Lytechinus pictus: one gene and its partner. The protein of the gene in region 1 interacts with the protein of each later gene in a pairwise test. Links are inferred from orthologs where the notes say so. Each region holds a gene or a part of one and is shown on either strand. Other genes may lie near its edges.

Region 1 (11,968 bases):
ATAGATTTAGTTGTGTAGTCTTATTGTACTTAAAATATCTATACACCTATCGTATCCTAATTGGGGACCTTGTTGGTGTAGCTTTTTTAAGGTCTCCTCTTTCTTTAGAAATGTAATTTTTTGTGTAACTTTTGTGTCCAGAATTCTACTCTGTAATGTAAATGACATGATTTATGTAACAACTTCAATGTATCTTTAACATTGACAATCCATTGTTTTATCTTGTTTTTATTATTTTTTTAACTACCATGTATGAATGTTTTTTGTGAAAGGAAGAAATAAATGAACTATGAACATTTTTCAAAGAAACAACCTGGGCAAACATGCAGTGGTGTCTCAAGGAAAAAAGAGAGAACATCACAAAAGCCAATAAACTCCCAATAGGATTTTATTTTAGGATGGACAGGAAAAAGTTCTTGAAGGGAAAGTGGCACTTTTGGATACATATTAGAGGCCAAGTCCACTTCCAATGTTCTTTGAATACTGGTAAAGTGAATTTAAATAAAGAGACATACATGTACCTAACAATTATAGGGTAATAATTTTCATACAAATCAGATGTAAAATACAACAATGCCACAGAATCGATTAAAAACTCTGAAAATCATCTACAATGACCCCTTTCCCACATGAAAAAGATGTTTTCTACATGTATAAAGGCAGCAAATATGCTGAAAATAACTGAATTCAGACATTAGTCTGAAAAGCGACATCCTTGCCTTGCATCTATAAGACATTTCTTATTATGTTCAATTTTTGAAGTAATTGGCAGCAATTCAGTGTTAAGTTTGATTGACATCTCTCAATTTATCTTCATTAAATTTTTCTTGGGGAGGACTTGGCATTCTATTGCCAGATCAAATGCATCACTATTTTTTAGGAAAGAAAGAACTCGTTAAAATACTTTTTGAACAAGTAGCTTTTACGGTGGATTTAACTTTGAAGCAGGAGAGTTCTTTCATAATGCGGATGATATTCCAGAGTGAAGGGGCAGTATGGGTAATAAACCCGGGGGGGAGGGGGGGGGGGCAGTCAAATATATTGCTGTACACACGCGTGACCCCAAAAACGCGTTTAAAGGGGTGTTTTTTTCAGTTTTGGACACGGGTCGCGCGTGCACTCGTTAAGGGTATCAAAAACATTGATTTTCAAAAAAAGGGGATCGTTTTGAAAGGCTAGTCAATGGTCAACCGCAGGGTCAAACGTATTTAGGGTATGTTTTTTTTCTGAAGCTTTTTTTTTTAAGACTAGAAAAACGTGTTTAGGGGCCAAAATGTGTAAATAAAGCCCGCGAAAAACTTGTTTAGGGGGTTATTTTGCACACAGAGAAAAACTCATTCAGGGGGTGTTTGGAAATAATTTGGCCACGCGTGTGTACAGCAATACATTTGACTGCCCCCCCCCCCTCCCCGGGTAATAGACATCCGACATGAAGTTGAAGTTCAGATGATATGCAGTAGTTTCACGAAATCAACAGAGAAACAAGGGGAATGGAATGTAACCGCGACACCTGTCTCGACAATAATTTGGGGGCAGGATCTGATTCATTAAGAAGTATTAGGGGGTGGATTTTCAGGAAGCTTAGGGTTTGATGAACCAGATATTGAATTATTGACCATTAACAACTCTTCCTACAATCTACAGGTTATATATTTGTCAGTCATCCAGCAAAGGAAATACATATGGACGACGGGCGATTTCAACCTGATAGCCCAAATTGCCCCTAAAATTCCCCCAAAATGCATGCTCTGGGGCAACCATTCTTTTTAGAGTTACCCCAAGATCTGTTCCAAACAATATTCAAGATTCACAAAATTCAATTATCTAACTGTGGCAGAAGAGTAATATTTGCTTTTACTGCACAATTATCTTTTTACCCCTAAAAAGTAGCCTTTCAAATGAAAGAGCCCCCCCCAAAAAAAAAAATATATATTTTGCACTGGCCTCAATGTAGAAAAGAAAAATAGCCCCTAAAAAATAAAAATTATTCCCTGCCCTGCAGACATCACAATGATATCGATCAAATTCAAACTTCATACCAATTATAATTACAGGGTGCTACATAAGCACTTGCCTGATTGCCCGGGGCAAGTAAAAGTTAGAGTTAAGAGGCAAAAGTTTTGTAGTAAAGACCAAAACTACTTGCCCGAATTGGGCAAGCAAAATTCTCACAGAAAATGGCCAAAATTAGGGTCGATATGATATATTGACCCTAATTTCTGTCATGGCAGGCAAGATAAAATCACTTTGGACAAAGAAATGCAATAATAAGGTAGATCAGTTCATGCCAAAAGAGAGAAAAAGGTCAATGGTTTATAAAACCGCAAAACTTTCTTTTGGAGGGGTAACACTTTTTTTTCAATGATTTTTTCTGGCAAGTGAAATAGATTTTTGGGCAAGTATTAAAAAATTTACTTGCCTAACTGGGCAAGTGCTTCTAAAAAGTTATGTAGCACTCTGAATTATATCAAATAATCTTCACTGAAAAGGTCTAGTTCAATATCCCGCCTTGATCACAAGAATCCCCGTTAAATTACGAGAACATTATTAGGCTAAAAAATACCTATTAATTATTCCTGAAACATACCCTTCGGGATAAATTCCTGAAGTTAGGAGCATGCGCAGTATGGTCTAATAAGCAGGCAAGGCGCGAGATTCAAAACCACTAGCCCAGCAGCCACCCACGGCGCCCGCGCCCAACGACACGCTGGGCTAAAAGTTCCCGTAAATTGCTTTCACATTGCCAAAATACCTGCGACCTTGGAAAAATCCCCGCGAAAGTTCTCGTAATTTCGCCAAGTACCTACTATTTAGCGGGTATTTTCTTTCGGGGAAATTACGCGTAGTTTGCTTTCACATTACCAAAATACCTGGTATTTTCTGATCGGGGTAAATTTCCCCATCAGAGAATACCTGGAACTGACGAACTTCGAGGCGGTCTGAAACCACCTAGTGTCTCCTATACCTCATTATTAAATGTATTCATCGGGCTAAGGTGACAACATGCACATGTCCAATTGCACTAAAAATTCCAAGGATTTAAAATAAATCTGGATTGGCTGTAAATAGTGACCAGCTAAACACTAGATTAAGATCTGATCCTTGTGCATTTAAATATAAAGCTAACAGATTTAGATTTAAAGGTAAATGCTAGTTTTGGTAACGATACCAAAATGAGTTCGTACAGAATCCAATGAAATGACCACCAAAGTGTCTGTTTGCATAAATAAAACGCATGTGCCAAAGGATTCTGGAAGAAATTGTGTAATTGCTGAGAAATCAGCAAATAAGCACAGGATTCGGGTAGAGCGTCGGGCCCGACGCTCAAAGCAATAATTATACACAGTCCCACGTGCGCTTATCTGTGTTGGGGAAGTTCAGTCTGAACATTTTTCAGCGTAGATTTCAAGATTTCACAAAGTTCAGTTTATGTAACTGTACCAGATCTAGATCCTCGATGATATACTGACAATTAAGCCTGGTTTTACAGACTTTCTCATGAAATCAGTGTTTACTGCAACTACTGGAATTTCTCTTTAAATCTTTTGAGATTTAAAAGTTAATACTTCAGATTTAAAAAAATATATATTTGACTGGTCACTTTTCACAGCCGAACGAGATTTAAATCCTTAGAATTTAGAGTAGGGGTTTTCATGTCAGGAATTCCTACACAAAAAAAATTACCATCAATGTAACTTTGCCATTACCGTAGCTGCCATGGTAACAGGGCTCAGCAGCCAATGAAAATCAAGGTTTCCATGGTAGTTCTCATAAAGGCAAAGTTACAATAGGCGGTGCTGCAACAGCCAAAGTTTGCTCAATCTCGAGATTTTAGCCCGATAAGCCCTCTTCGCGATTAATCTTGATATCCAAGAAACCCGTTCTTGAGCGAGGCATCGATGCATTGTGGTCTGACCGTGAAATAATCCCGAGTCGAATGTCGAGTGCGTCTGCACCTGCGAATTAGCCGGATAATTCATAAATAGCACACTATTTTGCAAGTAATACTCAGTTGAATTAGGATTGCAAGCTCGAGATTAATCCAGCGAGCTACCGGATCAGAAATAGCGCGATTATTTGAAAAGTCAGGGCCCTACTTTAGTATTACTGCATTGCACCAGAGCCCAGCATACCTCCCTATCCCCAAGGGAGTTGTTCTCCAAAGCCATTGCCCTCAATGAAGTTGTCCTAGAACATTTTTTACATACCTTTATATGGAACTCCAGGCTCTCATCCATCTGGTAAATATGGTTGAAGATATCTTGCACAATACGAGGGATGATACCCATATACTGAGCATTACCCATAACACCCTGCAAATACAAAAAACATGAATGATTTGTTAGAGGCGATGTTTGCAAGCAACAATTTTGGTACATATCATCTTCATAATCATCATCATCATCACCATCATCACCACCATCATCACCACCAACTCTATCATCATCATCATCACCATCATCACACTCAACTCCATCATCATCATCATCATCACCATCATCACCACCAACTCCATCATCTTCATCATCATCATCATCATCATCCTCATCACCATCATCACTACCAACTCCATCATCTTCATAATCATCAGCAGCAGCAGCATCATCATCATAATCTTCATCATCATCATCATCACCTTCATCACCACCAACTCTATCATCATCATTGTCATCATCATCAACATCAACTCCATCATCATCATCGTCATCTCATCACCATCATCATCACCACCAACTCCATCATCTTCATAATCATCATCATCATCATCATCAATCATCAATCATCATCATCATCATCATCATCATCTTCATCATCACCACCACCACCACCACCATCATCACCACCATCATTATTGACATCACCATCATCATCATAATCATAACTATCATTATTTATATTGTCATCATCATCATTGCTGTCTTTATTACATCAACAATCCTTTTCAATCATTTAATTTTGTTTTTCTCCTTCTTATTTACATCAACACCTCCTCCTTCTCATTTTCCTCTATCTCCAGCTTACCTCCCCTAATTCTTGAAATAATCTAATCATAAAGCTAATATCATCCTCATAAAATATTTACAAAGATTTTTCGATCGTGATGATCCATATTTATATACTGCATTATTAAAGTGCAAATATATTACACCAATATCTCAGTCGGATTCAGTCATTTTGTGTTTTGAATAAATAATGAGATATAAATGATTTACCTCCATGGTGAAAGTCTTTCCACTGGATGTCTGCCCATAGGCAAAGATGGTTCCATTGTACCCTTCCAGAACATCTGTAAGACAAAAAAATATTTTAATTATATTATTACTATTATAACTATTATCATCATTATCATTGCATCATCCTCATCATCATCATCATCATCATCATCATCATCATCACCACCATCATCATCATCATCTTCACCACCACAGCTGCTGCATATGGGAGATTTTGTGGGGTAGCCTATTGACCATGTCTTGCTCTGCCCTTTTGACAGAGGAGCTTCTCTTTTTTGGAGGGGGGGGGGGGCATTCAGAAAAAACAAGTCTTTCTTTCTAATTAATATACATGTCCGTGCAGTAACTTTGAGAAGACCTTTCAAAATTATGCTGTTATTAACTCTTAGATTTTTAAGCCCATTTTGTTCAACTGTGTTAAAAACAAATTGCCTCCTGGAAAGCCTCCCCTGATCAATTTCTGTGTTAAACAAACAATTTCAACTTTTAAAATCAATATCACATTCAATTCAATAGTCGGATAGATGATGCAATCAATACTTCGACAATTCAAAATTTATTTCATGTCTACAAGTACAACATACATGTGTAAATGTACATTACATCTTCAATCATTGATATCCTATAAATACAATGATTACATTCTAATGAGGTGCATATCAGATTCGAGGCAAACACAGCCTCAACTCAAGTTCAGGTGTATTGAACTGATTTGCATGCATCATTAGCATGTATCTTTCCTTGTACATGTAGACCGAGTGCAAAATACATGTACATCCACTTTACAATCTTTATACTTTGTTATTTACCTTGTAAACTGTTTCATCTATTGAATCTTGTATTTGCTACTTTTCTTTAGAAATGATTTTAACACACAGTTATTTCAATGTGCACCATGAACATTAATTATATTTGTACCTACATGTACATGTAGGCAACTTGGATTGTTTTGTGCTATTTCAACCTGTTTTCATGTCTCATTATGGAAGATATGGAAGATACATGTTGACAGAGTTTCTAAAAATCTCTGTGACTTTAATAACAATACAAAAAAAAGCGGAATTACTCTATGTGGCAGTACATTTTATCTGTGGATATTCTCGGCTGAAAAATTGATAATGAGGTTTCTTCTGAATGTTTGTGTCGTGTGGTATAATTTTACTTCTTATGCAAATTGAAGGAGGTTGATTAATTTTATTTTAATCTATAATTTTTTCATCAATTTCCAATCTCTTGAAACAATTTCTCAAGCATAGGATGAAAGTGTGTGGAGAGAAATAAATCCCCCCATGCATACATAGGCCCTTATATGTCGTGTTTGAAATAATGTTACACTCTAAAAAAGATTGAGTAAAATTTACACAGTATTGGAAAGAGAGAGAACATGCTTTTTTGCTGGGTAATTTTTTCCCCCCATATTGGGAAAAATGCATTTTTAAGGGTAAATTTTACGCAACATTGCGTAAAAATTACAAAGTATTTGGTATCATTTTACCCAGCAAACATACATGTTCCCATTTTACCAAATATTGGGTAAACCTTTTTTACAGTAACATTGCATGCCAAATCACAGTTTATCTATATATGTACATCTAAGAACAGATGTTCTGTTTTGAGCTACCAACAGCGCTGGCAATATTTTTTAGTATTGATACAGTAGTATGGTAGTCTTCCTTGTCAATCCTATATGAGTCATGCATCTGTTACAATTACGTCTGTCAAAGCAAGTTCATATCATGGCCCTCTAAGTCGGCACCTGGGGGAGGGAATTATGGGATATTTCGGTCACATTTTCTCCCCCAGTGCAGGAATAGTATCCGTTAGAAGTGCAAGGTGTATCGTAAAATAGAATGAATTGCCATTCCAAGGAGCAAAATGGATTTACATGTAGCATCCCCAAATGGTGGATGTGTCTCCTGATGCATTGTGTGTGCCAATGAATCATGTCTCTTAAGACTCTTTATAATGTATGTACTGTATACTTATCAAATCATAGATCAATATCAAAATTCGTATTTAAATGTAAAGATTCATTCACCTTCTGTGCAGTTTACGTATAGGCCTAGTTATAGTAAAACAATTCTGAAGGGGGGGCTAACATGCATAAAAATTCCATTTGATGAGAAAGTCAATGAAAATCACTCGGGGGCCCCTTGCGTAATACTGTAGTACAATTATGGTAACTTTGCTATCCAATGGCAACTATCATTCGCAACAATGATCAACAGTCTTAAATCAAAATCAAGGATTCCATGCAAGTTACCATTGCATGGCAAAGTTACTAAATGGTATGTTTATGCAACAGGCCAAAATGATAAGCTTCTTGAAACATTCCACTGATAAACAAGAAATTATGAGTAAAACAACCACCCTTTCTGCACCCCCGTTCATGCTAATGCCACTTCAAGTTCATAATGCATGTTGTACAGTCATAGCATATTCCATTTCTCCTGGGAGGGGGGTAATTTGACCCACTACATTGTCTGGAGGGAAAGAAAGAAATGAGCTTGGGGCTTCCTTTTTCCAAAGCCTGGGTGATTCAAAGAGTTCGTTGATAGGTCATGTTCGTGTTTGTATTCATTGTGTGAATGGTGGATCAAGCATTCCAATCAATTAAAGCATTGAATGATGTCAAATGCAGAGGTTAGATGTATCCAGTCAACAAACATTGGATAATGGTTGTCCGGAGAAGGGTCACACAGTGCACGTTTATTGTAGGCCTTGGAGTTGGATATTGCTCTGAATACACTTGTCTCAATTAATTATTGCAGGCATCTAATATGCCTAACATAATAATATTAATTAATTACTCTACAATACATATGTAGGCCCAACCATTTGTCTAAGGAGCGATTACCTTATACAATGAGATTATCCCGTTCAATCATTATCATCATGATTCATAATTATCATAGGGAAAAAAACAACAAAAAAACACTATCATCATCATTCATACAATCATGATCATCATTTAATATTATCATCATCATCAACATCATCATCATAATCATCATCATCCGTCATCACTATCATCATCACTACATTTCTATCACTTTTCAGTGTTATAAAAAAAAAACATTCAACTTTATTTGGGGACATCCATGTCTACACCTTAACATTCGTGACTACTTTCTCAGTTTCTCATAAATTATGTTAATCATAAATGTACACGTACATTCTAATTGATTCTGAACGAATACAGGCAAACATAAGGAGAGTCAAACTCTTGCATTAAGCAATTTATCATGCCAGTATGAACCAGCTTCCATGGCACTCATCACGTAGTCGCTGTCAGAATAGAGTTGACTCTCCTGCCTTCATAGAGTTTATCACAGGAGAGGCAAACAGACACGATTCCAAATTGCTTCGCTCAGTTTCAGTACCCACAGGTAAAATTCTTGTGTCAATAAAAACCCACACGCGACAGGAATAGTGGTACTATAATGCATAGATGATGCAATGTCTGAGCATGGCCGGCCGGCATCCATTATCTTGAAGTTCTTGGTTTGTCTTCATTCATTGTTCAAATATTTGAAGAAATTATTCAGCATTTTAAACGGAAAGAAAATATTGTTTTATCACGAGTTGAGCTTAGAAATTTTCATTTTAATTACATCACTTTTATGGAAATTCCTGAGTTACTTTTGTAACTGATGCAGTTCAATTGAATGTAAAAACCATAGTAAATTATAAATAAATTGTAATTCATGTTACAACTTTTTAGCCATCATTGTGTAAATAAAAACATTTTAACAATTTATTTGCCAAATTATCCTGGTAAAATTTTCTGTTTCATTAGATTTCTAATTTTAAAGTTTATTTGCGAATTAGGGTAAAAAAATATCTGGGTATACTTCAACATCTCTCTATCGCCTTAATGTGCACAGACTGCCTTGCCTTTGGTTCTTAGATTTGATAGCAGCTTTATACATGTTGACATTCCTGCTTTCACTGAATGTCACCAAAACACTAGGGGATTGATGACACATTCTCATCAACATGTAGCTGATCAGACAGAGTGCTTGCATCCCACAAGTACATGAACTTTCAGTTCAACTGTCTCACTACACTGAGCACTAAAACAATGGTGTTCAAACTACACTACCAGTCAGCGTAGGAAATACATGTACATGCGGGCGATGGGTGATTTCGCCCTCATAACAGCCCAATTCCCCCCTAAAATTGCCCCAAAATTTATGCTTTCTGGTGACCGTTATATCTGGAGTCGCCCCAAGATCTGTCACAAACATTAAATATTATTGATAGAAAATTAATATTCTAACTATGGCAGAATTTTTTATTTGCTTTTACTGCATAATTGCTTGTTACCCCTTAAAATGAAAGACATAGCCCCCAAACTTCCACAATGACCCAAATGTAGAAAAACATGCCCCTAAAACAAGATAAAATTATATTCTACCCTGCTACCAGTACCAGTGTTCACAGATGATAACACCAACATTTTATGGTGTTGCATATTTCATTACCTTAAACTTACAGGCCTGTATTCTGAAGTCGGGTTTAACTTAAACTCAGGTTTAAAGTTGTGGTTTAAGTATGGACAGCCAATTGTTACATAAATCACTAACAGTAGAGATATCATATTTCAGCTCATTTGGCTCTCAAATCATTCATAATTGTCTAGGAAGTATATATAGATTATTGTCTTCACCATCGATGAATCAGGAAAGAGCACAGTTAACATAAGAAATGTACAACTTAATAACAATTTTTGATACTTTTGGCTTCCCATACTTAAACCACAACTTTAAACCCGAGTCTAAGTAAAACCTGACTTCAGAATACGGGCCACAGTAGACTAAATCTAACTCTAGATTGAAGTTTAGTGTTTCAAAACTATAATCATAACTGGAAATCTGGGAAACAAAGTCATTTTAATTGCAATCATTTATTCAATTTTTTTTTTGGCTGTTGTCTTTAATATTGTGTGTCATTTCTGAACAAGCAAGGAGTCTCAGCTATTTTTGATACAGTACAATGTACTGTATAATGTACATGTATTTATGTAGAGGGCCTTGTTGTTGGTTGGTTGAGTTTAGTGTGGAGGTGGCGCTATCCATCGATATCCGATGATTTCCGCCTGGCTAAGCAAGAGGGATTCCACCCTCCCCTGTACAGCTCTCGTCATTCGATTAATTGTTAATTGCACTGTGTGTGAGATATAGATTCACCAAGAAAAGGCGTTGTGTAGTATTCAAATCTTTTGAGTATTTTGTTTGAACATCGTTTGTTAGATTTAACAGTTAGTACTTGTTATTTTATTCATGAAAGTTACTCAACTCAAAACTTTCTCATTATGACTCATTATCATGTAAAACACAATGCCTCTCTTGATAAAAAACAATTTATAATTCACCATTACTGACAGTTAAAAGGTTATCACCACTCACAGGGTGCATTTCCTTGCTAAAGATATAGTTATCAAGCAAAAAAAAAAGGGGGGGCCCTCAGAAAGGAAGCGAGCTCCCCTTTGCCACCCCTGCCCCCCTCTGATCTGTGCCTGCATGTACAGAGCAATGAGACCTTGCTCATGTGGGTTTAATACTTAAAGGGATTGTCCGGGCTGAAAATATTTATATCTGAATAAATAGAGTCAAATTCACAAAGCAAAATACTGAAAATTTGATCAAAATCAGATAACAAATAATGAAGTTATTGAATTTTAAAGGTAAGCAATATTTTTAAAAAGAGGAATATATGCACATTGTCATGAATATTCATTAGTTGGGCTGATGATGTCACATACCCACTTTCCTTTTTCTTATGTTTTTACATGAAATCATAATTGTTTTATTTTTACATACATGTGTATTTGATGTCTCTCCGTGATGAGTTGCGGCAATAAATAACTAAAGCACTTAATCAGTTGTCAATCAAATTGCTTTAGCTCCTGGTAGAAAATTTTTGATAAAAACCTAATTTCATATAATAAAATGTACAAAAGAACAAGTGGAGATATGACATCATCAGCCCACCTAATGAATATTCATGAAGACATGCCTAGAACTGTTTCACCAGAATAATGCAAATCTTTAAAATTCAATAACTTCGTTATTTGTTATCCGATTTGGATAAAAAATTTCAGCATTTTGCTCTGTGAATATTACTCTATTCATATAAATATCTCCAGCCTGGACCATCCCTTTAAGACAATATTGTTTCTCACTATGACTCATTACCGTGTCAAGCACAAACCATCTTATTAATTTATAATTCACCATTACTGACAATGATTGCGAAGTTTTGCTATGACAACTCAATACATTATTCAAGATAATAATCCTGAGTAGACTTCTTTTTATAAAGCACTATTTAATTTAGCTAAATATCAAAACCAAACTTTAGTTTATGATAGTTTATAAGGAGTTGTAATTGAGGAATAATGATCAAGGATTGGGGAGTGTTTCGGGGTGAATCAATCGCCCCCAAACCTTGTGTATTTCTCCCCCCCAGCCACGTACATGTACATTGATGAAAAAAGATTGCAGCATTTTAGGAGTGTTGAAAGGGTACGGGGGAAAGACATTTTAAGTGTTTTCACACAATATTTTTCGAGAAAGTACATGAAACAAGAAATTTAAATGCATTCTTGTTTAATAGGAGGAAAAACTTGTATAATAAAGAAAAACCATGGTGGTTGAGTTGGCCTCGAAAAGGAAAACATTAAACCTGACACTGTCTAACCGTAAATTTTAAGTTTTATTGTACGATTT
Region 2 (11,299 bases), on another chromosome or scaffold:
GCGCTCTGTTTATAAAAGGATTAGCGGCGACGGTCTCTGTGTCAAAGGAGGGGATTCGTTGAATGTCCATTCGTAATAGGTCCATGCTCAAACCAACTGTATAATGAGTCTACATCATCAGTAGTTGAATTAATGTAAGAATAAATATGATTCATTGTTTAACCTCACAAGTTATCTTTCCAAATTTTCATTAAATGTGGACAACACTTAAGTCAACTGATAAGAGATGCAAATTGAAGGGAAGAGTAGGCTTATTTGTTGAAAAGGGAATTCTGGACATAATATACCAATATACAGATTACAGTATTTATGTATAGATACAAATCTTGCACATTTATGATAACAAGTAATTTCCATGCAGGTTTATATTTTCCTAAAAGAAAAGCCCTAAGAAGTTGTCATATTTGATTCATTGTGCAATTTACATATCTTTCGTGATGATGATGAGTTTATATATATATACATGTATATGCCTATCCTTGTATCAGGTGTCAACTTACATTTGACTTATTTCAGAGTCAATCTCTATTGTAACATCTACCCCTGAAGACAAGTAACCTTTAAAATCTGCTCGAAAGTACAACCTCAACCCTCCGTAATTCCCTCTCACAAAAAGTGAGCTAGAATCGAATATTAGGAGAAAAAAAAGCACCCAGAGAAATTGCGTGAACATGTCGAGAGAAAGGGCTCTTCTTTCTTCAATGAAGATGGCAGTACTATTGAAAGAGACAAGTAGTGCTCCACACAAATTACCATGCAGCCCTCTAGATGTGCCCACATAATCAGGCCTATATGCCTCTGGCTAACTCGTAGAAATTTGCAAGTGAAAATTTCTCTTCCCACTGCTGTGTGTGAAAGTGTAATGGAATGGGCAGTGTGCAATGCTCACTTTGATAAAGTTCTGTTCTAAGCTATCATTTCATGTTTGAAATATAAAGTGCAGTGTTGGAATCAAATACAGAATCATAAAAAATAGTTGTTTATTCATGTATATCTAATTAATTTATCCAAAGCTGTTGTATAATTTTTAATTTCAAGCTCATAATGTATACATGTAAGGTCAATAAATTGCTTATGGTGTGTCGTTGTTTTACAAATAACTTTATTTGTGAATTTTCAGAGAGATATGTGTTTTCATTCATAAGCTATGAATATGTCTATGCACATTTTGTGTGTTATTCTTTGAGAACCTCTTTTATACCGAGGCCCCTGCCCCTGGGGACTGAGAAACATGGATTATATATACCCACAAGCCCTCTTTCACATTTGCAAGTAAATGAGAAAAATGTCTTGCTCCCTACATCCGAACATTATTGTTGTTTCGCTCAATTAACTTTACAATGATTGATTTTGCTCTACTCTTCTTTGGCTTCAAGCATGTAGGCCTAAAGCCTATTGATGAAAGTTTTAAAATATATAACTCTCTTGTTTTTAATCAAAATTTGTTGAAAAAAATCATAGTCCTGTACCTCAATATTTTGCTTTCTGAATTAAAAACAGAATATTTATTCCAGGATGAGTTTTACCTGGAAGTCTCAGTTTACTCATTTATTCATTAATTACTATTATTATTATTATTATTATTTTTTTTTTTGGGGGGGGGGTTCAAGATGGTTGAAAGTTTGGACTTAATATTTTATAATGAAATTGAAATGAATTATTGAGTCAGCATATAAGATTTACAGGGATTCAGAAATAAAAGCTTGACTTGAAGTCCTTAAAAATGTTTCAAGTTGATATTTATTATTGTATTTTCTATTATTTGATATAATTTTGAATTCTCTGTCACAGAATATAAACAGAATTCAGGTTCTTTCTATCAACTGTGTGGGAAGGTTGATTGGTTGGTAGATCTATAGACAGCTCATTCATTTAATGTGACAACCTTGAGCAATACCCCTCAGTCCTTGTTAGCTTTCCAGGTAATGAGATACCAAACCAAGTTCATTCTAACCCCATGTTCAGGTGCACAAAACATCTCTAGAGTGATATCCAATGACCATGGTAATGTAGGCATATCCATATAAAGCACTTAAAAACGTTCTGATGTTAAGCGCTATTTAAAAGCAAATGGTACATACATGGTAGCTTCATAATGGATTCCTGTGTTTGCACATGGATGGTTTGACTGTGAACACAGACTTACGATAAACTTGTCAGAGAATAGTTTTGCATGGTTGTTTGAACACATGATTATAGAACATTAATTCATCTTGATAAGGTCCAACAGCCAACAGTTACAACATGTGCATTGGAAAACTTCTCATCTGACATTGATCTAAGCGGTTGATATGTGTCTGAACGGTTCCTAAACTATGCTAAAGTCTTGTATGACGTTTCGTTGCCAAGTTCCAATGTAAATGTATTGATGTCTGAACAGGCTTCATTTAGAACCTCCTTGTGCAGCATGTTCATCACTCATTCATAGAGAACCTGTTGGCAAGGAGACAGGCGGTTGGTTTCAGGATAAGTTACCCTGACTAAAAACCCCCGAAACTGTCAACCATAGCTCACTGAAAAACCAGACACATTCATTACACTAAAAGCTTTCAATATGGCGCAGCTCACATGGATGTGTACATTCATGCCTCAGTCAGACTAGTGGAACCTGCTCCAGAATGAATGGCCCTTGTATGTTAAAGGACAAGTCCACCCCCAAAAAAAGTTGATTTGAATAAAGAGGGGGAAATCCAACAAGCATAACACTGAACATATGATCAAATGTAAAATAAAGATATGACTTTTTAAAGTGTAGCTTAATTTCACAAAACAGTTATATGCACATCCTACATGTAGTCGGTATGCAAATGAGGAGACTGATGACGTCATCCACTCACTATTTCTTTTGTATTTTATTAAATGAAATACAAAATATTCTAATTTTCTGCTCGTTGGCAAGTGAAACAATGATCCCCAATGAACATGTGGAACTAGCATTGTTTAATACTATATGGTTCAGTCAAGTTTTGTCAATTTTGTAAAGAATGAAATATTGTATAATTCAAACAATCAAAACAAGAAATAGTGAGGGAGGGACATCATCGACTGTCTCATTTGCATGTCACTGAGTTGTGAAAAATAAGCGAAACTTTAAGATGTCATAACTCTCTTATTTTACATCCGATTCTGCTGAAATTTTCATTGTTATTCTTGTTTGATTTTTCTCAATTGATTCAAATCAATATTTTTCTGGGATGGACTTGACCTTTAAGTTTGAATAATGTAGTATCTGTCAGTATGAAGTTGGTTTAATCATTGATGTGACTGTTGCATTGAACTGTGCTTTGGGGAATGGATATCTCCCCTCTCTCTATTTGATTGATTCTTGAATTGGCCACTATTTTGAGAACTGTGCTACTTCTTTTTACCTTTAAATATGACATTTAGTTACAGTTCATGAGAATAAATTGTATACAAAACTGTAAATGAAATAATGTATCTTTGAAAATTTTATATTTGCTGTAAATTTGTTAATTATCGAAAATTAAAATGAATTTAAAAGCAATATTTGCAGAGAGTCATGTGTGCTCTGAGACAAGAGACATTACTGGAAGACTTCAGCTATCAAGATCGCTCAGTCTCCTTTGCAGTGGACATGCATCTTTAACCTATGAAATTCATCCCAAATTTACAAGTTGAAGTATTTTGAAGCTCCAACAACCTGAAATTTTCTTTAAATAACTCAGGACTGCCCCTTTCATCAATGTCACAACAAGTACACCACCATTTATTATTTTTCCTTTTCATCTTTCCTAATTTTCTGCTATCTCCTCCGTCACTCAGTCTGTTCTCTTAAATCCTTTAGCAATATTCACTCTTGTATTGAGTAAACTGTAATTGGGAATAAGACACCGTTCTCATTACACTTTGTAAAACTTTTTCAAGAAACCAGTTTGGAAGATCGCTTTGCTAGCATTCCCACTTGATCGCACGAAAGTGATTTTCAAAATCACTTCACGTAAAAGCAATCTTGTTGCTATGGAAAAGCTCAGTGGGGTGACACGTTTCGTGCAAAATTCGAAATTGCAGCATAGGCATTCTACACCTGTCATGTGGAGTAGCACGCTCAAAATGTGCGAAGATCGCTTCCCGAAGAACGGTTGTGTCCTCACTTACGCTAAAACCAGTTTAATGAGGCAAAGCGATCTTGAAAACTACATCGCGAGGTGGTTTTCTGAACCGGTTTGGAAGATCGCTTGCAAGATTGCTTCGACCGTTCTCACTTCACGTTAAACTAGTTTCCAGTAAAATAGTTTTAGGAAGGTAGTGAGAACAGTGTCTAAATGTCACCACATCTCTTTTGCCATGAGACTGTTTCTAAGCTGGATGCTGGCTGGCTTGGTGTGAATATCTAATATAAGCAAATATCTGAAGATGGTTAGTATGCAGCATGGGAATGATACCTGTGAATGTCATACGAGTATAAGCTCATCATTAATGAGCTTTAAAATAGCCTCATGCCCTTAGGGAAATCGAAGAAAGGGCTTTGTATATATAGTAATTGCTTTAGAAGGAATTCATATTGTCTGGTTTTGTTGAAGTCCCATTTATATACATGTATGCACTGCATTGTATCAGAGAAGATGATCTGATGATCTCCCAGACATGATTTGATGCATAATTCATGGATTGAATGCAACCATGACACGATATATGCATAATTCATGGATTGAATGCATTTTTTGATATATGCTGAAATACTTGATTTGACTGCATCCACATGTCTTTAATTATATTCATTAATAGACATTTAACTGATATAATTTAATGTAAAATAAGTTTGATTTACATGTATGTGACGTTAACAGGATCTGTGGTCTACATGTACCTGTATGCCTGTTGAAATGTTGTCCATGTACCTAAACTTTGGATGAGAGTTAGCAAATATTAATCTAATCAAATTGTATATATAAGTATATGGTTAAAAGAATATATTAATTCAAGAATCAAAATTAAAGTCTGTTAAAATTGAAGAGGTAATCAGGCTGATCGAATGATTACCAATTACACTCCAGGGTGTGCCAGGTTGCCCCAAAGATGTACCCTTTACCTCCTTGGCATTACTATAGGAAAAACCTCTACAATCTCTCTCTCCTTGGGATCTAGTTTTTCTTTTCCGTGAATGAGGTTAATTATTCACATCATTATCATGATGGTCTTAGTGCTTCTCTATCATACTTCCAATGGTCTCTTGCCCGAAGGGTTTTCTGTATCTTGAGGCGCTGCAATCATGTACAAGACAAACTCTGCAGTAACCCTTGCTATTGGAGAGGATAAACAGCATGCTCCTGGAGTTTGCCTTTCTATTATTCCCTGTTTGCATTTATGAAGAAACGGAAGAGAAGTGGGATGGAGAATGGAGAGAAACTGCGTAATATGTGCGATTCAGACAAGTGTTTAAGATTGAAGAAGGAAGGGAGTAATGGAGATATGCAGAGAGGGAGTGGGTTGAGATAGTTGGGGGATGGGGGGGGGGGGGAGTGGAGAGGGTGGGAGAGACATGTGGGAGAGGAAAAGCCAGAAGGACTGAAAAAGATGGAGCATGGAAAGGAGCATATTGTACATCAGTAAAATATTCATGTACATTTGTCGGCCGACCTTTGCATGTACGTGCAGACCAACTGCATAAAATTTGCGATTCGGATAAGTTTTTAAAGATATTGAAGAAGGATAGAAGAAATAGAGATATACAAAGAGATATACACGAAAGAATGATATTTTTAATGTATCTTCAATTTATTCTCTCCCATTGAATATCTCATATGCACATTGATACCATACACAGACCTGCCAACCAGTACGTTTTAGCCGTATTTATTACGTTGTTGTTTTTTTTTTTTTTTTACTAAATCGTAATTTATTGAGAAAAATAATCTCCATATGTCTCTATTTCATAAAACGTACACAAATATGGTTATTAGATCAATGTAATTTCAGGTAACTTTGTTTTTTTTTCAATCATTTTGTTAAAACCAGGGTGAAGATATACACATGTTTTAATGTTTTTTTTTTCATCTGCAAGAGCAGTGCGCATTTTAGCATGCATGCAGCTTGAGCGCCGCGATGAGCGAGTGCGCCAAGCATTTTATTATGAAATACACATTTTTTGGGAAAAATACAGTTTTTTTAATCACAGAATACAGTTTTTCATTCCCAGAGGTTGGCAGGTCTGCATATTTATCTCACACGGTAAAAATACTGATTTTTTGTCAAAATACTGATTTTGGGGGATAAGAATACTGAAAATGCAAAATAAAACTTGGCAGCTCTGCATACATGGGATTCCAAACTGTCATTTCCTCTGTGCATGTGTTTCCTTCAGTCATGCCTGTTTCCTTCACATTGTTTTTCTGCTTTCCTTTATACAGGTTATGATGGCATTAGGTCACCATCTCAACATGGTGGAGGCCGAGAAACAGAAGTTACGAGCTCAGGTTCGGAGGTTAGTCCAGGAGAATACGTGGTTGAGAGATGAGCTTGCTGCCACGCAACAGAAACTACAGACCAGCGAACAGAACCTGGCTGACCTGGAGGTCAAATACAAACACCTAGAGTACATGAACTCCATCAAGAAGTTTGACGAGGATCGAACACCAGATGTAAGTTTTGTTTTGTCTGCAATCGTTTGCATGATGGTACTCGGGGCAAGATATAATTGAAATAAACAGAATTTGGTTTTCATTACAATATTCAATGCTCTTCATACTTACATGTACATGCCTTTGACATACATGTGGAAATTTAGCATTGGATATTTTTTTACCTGAAAATAAAAAGTATGATGCATTCTAAATACAAAATAGCTAGAAAGATGAAAATTTTAATGCATTACATTTACCATACTAGTTTTAAGGAACAACACATGATCATTTTTTGTTTTTCAGAAAAACAAATATTGTTCTTAGTTTTAAAAATTAGTTATAGCACAATAACTAATTTTAAAAACTAAGAACAATATTATGACATATTAACACAGATTATATACATTCTTTGTGAAGATGATAATCTAAGGAGGGTACCATAGTAAAAGTTAGTTGTAATCTTGATAAAAAATTGTTTCTAAAGATACAAGATTGGTATTAAAAAAGTTCAAATGTGTTTTTAAGTCTCAGGAGTGAGCACTGAATAATTTGAACTTAGTGGTAATGTTACATTAAGTCAAAGCTTGATTGCTGTTCCAAACTGTGGTTCTTTGTGAAAGCTGAAAACTTAAGTCAATATGAATATTCCCTGATTCAATGATAGTATTGCAAATCAGTCTGAACAATTCTCAGGGTTTCTATTTGCCCAAGAGCTTAACATTGTGAGAAAACAAAAAACCTCAGACTTGTATTACAAAAGTACTATTCACAATAACCTGTATCTGTAAGTGTTTGTATTTGTGACTGTGATGTCATATTCAAATATTTTCTTCAAACCCTGAAATAATCTTTACATGGTTGTATTTTTTCAAATTCAAATTCAATTTGAAAAATTACACACCTGAATTCATGTATAATTACATTCAATAATAGAAATGAAAATTATTTTATAAAAAATACTATGAGAGAATATAGTTGTAGACCATAAGAATATGTGAGTATGTGCGGAAATGGGGGGGGGGGGGGTTCACCCCAAAGCATAGCTTGTATTATGTGACCCCCCCAACTAAAAAAGACAACATTGCTGGTATTTGCCTACAAAAAATTACTAATATCAATGAACAAGAACAAATAAAACGGAACAAAGACAAAATTAAACACAAAACAAAACGAAAACAAAAAACAGGACACAAGAAAACTGCTGGATAAATGAAATCTTTGAAGAAGGTGGCGAAACAGCCAAGTCATGGCCGAAAAAAGACTTAAGCATTAAGCACCAAACAGAGTGAAAAAATAGAATGGGCAGAATTACATGTAGTTTTGAAGACCTCTGTAAGTCTAAGTAAAAATTGTCAGTTTTCAGAATGTATGAGAGGGCTGTTTTTATTGTTTACCATTAAAGAGAGTTACAAAACCTAGAACTATCATATATAAATTGTACTCTTTGCTGAAATATGGTAAGTGCAATTAATTGTCTCATTGGGTAGTCTTCATATGGCTGATGAAAGGGAAACATTTCAAATCCATGTCCTAAATAAAATAAGTACAGGTTGCTTTCAATTTGTGTAGAAATCCAAGTGTAACAATTATTTTTTTAATTATTATTTTATTTGATGATGCTCACATTTGATTTGTGTAGTGTTATTACATGTTTATTTAATAATAGGATAGGGTTTAAAGTGAGGCAAAAAACAGTCGTAAAATTTGTCAACAACAATCCTGAATTTCTCAATTTAGATTCTCATGTTAACAAATACATAAGGTTGTAGTAATCATGCAGGGTATATTAAAACTTCTACATCAAGAATGTGTCGACAGCAGAGGCTCTCAAATTTCAATGTACATGTAGAAAAAAATGATGAATTTATATGCAGAGCATGTTGCTATCTCCATTATAACATGTCAGGGATAAAGCAAATGGTATGAAATTGAAATTCTGGGAAATAATTGGATTCTCTATTCATGTAATTATTGCAAGGATCAGTATCAGCCTTGCATGAGAAATTGGAATAATGCATAATATGGATTTGGATTAAGCTGGAGGGAGAGGGGAATATGGGATTTAAATGTCAACCAATGGATGCTTCAAGAAAAAAAAGTATGTGGAAATGTCATGGACCAATACCATTCAGGACATGAAAGATTGCGAAATGACATTGGAGGAAGTTTATCCTTTAGACTATTGTTGCGACATTGATGGGGAAAGTGAAGTGAACACGACAGCAGTGATTCACTTAACCCATACAAATGCCATTAGCTCCGCCCCCCCCCCCATTTCTTTTTCCTGGCAAAAGACACAAAAAATAAGGGAAAATTATTTTCAAGTACTGACAGTGTATGTGGATTTATGGAGAAGAAAATTACTCTGTTTTCTTGCTTACCTCATTTATCATAATTTACAAGGTTCTGTGTTTTGCCTTGGTCTGGATTGTAGCTTCGATGTTGGGTGTGCTGTGTTGCAAGCCTGATATCATTATGAATTCATCAGAGAATTCTGATTGTGTTCAAGGCTTTGGAGTAAATTGAATCTGGACAGAGATCTCTCTGATTAATTATGCTATCATACCCAATGACATGTTTTGTAACATACAACATATTTTATTCCTACCATTTTGTTTTCCTTTATATTTTTTTTTGAATAAATAAAAAAATTTAGATTTATGCTCATAAAATGTAATGTTTTCAATTGGTGATTATCACTATTAATGATTTAATTTTCATGAATTCAGAATATTATCTTCAATTTAATTTAATGAATCTTGTAAAAGCCAACTTGTAAGAAATTACAATTTTAAGTCTTTGATTAAGAAGTAAATTAGAATGGAGGAAGTACTGAACCTTGAAACCTTTCTCTGTAAGCATTCTGTCTCTAGGATAATATCCCAATTTTCCGGTCGATCACGTACAAACGTTGATCTTATGCGAGATATTTATCCTGCCCTCCAAGTTCTGACGAAATCTATGTTTGCATGGGTTTGGCATTACACTTGTACACACGTTTACACTTTCACTTACTTCATTCTCATGGTACCCTCAATTACTCCAGCTATCTTACTGCATGATATACTGGACATATAAGATTAGTATCCACTTTACTTGAGATGATAATATCTATTCTTTATTGACAATGTAACGGCAATGGAAAGGTGAAACAAATGCAGCAAAAAAAACGATGACTAGTATTTTATGAATAAAAGTGACTCTAATGGCTCCATACATCGCTCCATACAATTCATCTGATTAAGTACATTTCCCCATGATCCCGTCATACATAACATTGGCAATTGACTGATCATAGAATTTACATACTTACTAAATGGATTCTTCTGAATGCAGTCCAAAGACTCTGTATTCAGCTACCAAAATTCATTTCAAAGGTTCCATGCCATTTGATCCTGGTACATATGAAAAAAAAATTGCACATTACATCAAACATAGAATGTGACATAAAATATAATCCTTAATCATATTGATTATCTATTTTTTCTGAGCCAGAGCATATTACAGCCCTATCACTACAGTGTTCATCTTCAGACTCAAGGGTCATTGAGGCACAATAAATGGTCACTGCATAGAGCATGTTCTACCATCATATTGAAATATATTCTTCTTAGGTAATTAAATGAATTGATAAGTCTTGAAAAGGACATGCTACTGAATAAATCTAAGGGAATTTTCAAGAAATGAAACTATCACCACGAGGACATACTTGAATAATATCCATTGTATCAGGTATTTAATGCATATTCTCATTCCCATGTGCTTGTAAATGTTACCAGATAGCTTGTGAATTATTTGTGTATGTTTATCTACATTATTGGTGTCTAGAATTATCATCATATTCTATGTTGTATAATTGATGCAGGCGGAGGACACATCGTCAGATCCCTTAGATCTAGGTTTCCCAGAAGATGATGATGGGTCTCAAGCAGATGGTAAGATCTTAATGCAATACTAACTGACTGTCTCATGTAGGATTGTCTCTTTGAGTTGCCTTCCCCACATGCTCTTTCTCTATCTCTGTCTCTTACCCTCTTTCCTTATTGATGTTGATGTTAGTTTAGAGTTAGTGTCCCTAGTTCTTGGTTTCCTAGAACATGAAGGTCGTGCAAACGCATTCCACTGTCATTATTGTGGGAGTGCCTCTGAATGTAGTCTTGGAGATGATTAGCGCTCCATATGATATTCCTTGTGGTGACCTCTCTACCGTCACTAGTTTGTTCCTGCCTGTACAAAAGACAACCGCCTCAATCATAAGAATCCCCGTTAAATTACGAGGACTTTTTTAGACTAATAAATATCCATTATTCCTGCATTCACACCACCCTGAAACATACCCTTCGGGATAAGTTCCTGAAGTTACGAGCATGCGCAGTATAGTCTGATAAGCAAGTGAGGCATGAGATTCAAAATCACTAGCTCATCAGCCACCCAAGGCGCCCGCGCCCATCTACACTGGGCTTAAAGTTCCCGTAAATTGCTTTTGCATTGCCAAAATACTTGTGACCTTGGAAAAATCTCAGCGAAAGTTCTCGTAATTTTGACAAGTACATAATATTTAGTGAGTATTTTCTTTCGGGGAGAATACACGTAATTTGCTTTCACATTGCCAATATTACCTGGTATTTTCTGATTGGTGTAAATTTCCTGATCAGAAAATACCTGGAACTTACGAACTTGAGGCGTTCTGAAACCACCTAATGTCCTAAGACCTTGGT

Evidence for each region.
Region 2: the proteins of kinesin heavy chain (region 1) and kinesin light chain interact in binary tests that used the Drosophila melanogaster proteins (3 or more experiments, as listed by UniProt). The link is inferred for Lytechinus pictus from reciprocal best matches to the Drosophila melanogaster genes Khc and Klc.

What each region holds. Positions count from the first base shown.
Region 1 is NC_087257.1:3,762,931-3,774,898, forward strand, and holds the start of kinesin heavy chain, read right to left. Parts: upstream 5,284-11,968; 5' UTR 5,220-5,283; coding exon 5,214-5,219; intron 4,314-5,213; coding exon 4,209-4,313; intron 1-4,208. UniProt on the Drosophila melanogaster protein: Kinesin is a microtubule-associated force-producing protein that may play a role in organelle transport. Milt and Miro form an essential protein complex that links Khc to mitochondria for light chain-independent, anterograde transport of mitochondria.
Region 2 is NC_087251.1:23,868,233-23,879,531, reverse strand, and holds the start of kinesin light chain, read left to right. Parts: upstream 1-6,372; 5' UTR 6,373-6,374; coding exon 6,375-6,599; intron 6,600-10,446; coding exon 10,447-10,516; intron 10,517-11,299. UniProt on the Drosophila melanogaster protein: Kinesin is a microtubule-associated force-producing protein that may play a role in organelle transport. The light chain may function in coupling of cargo to the heavy chain or in the modulation of its ATPase activity.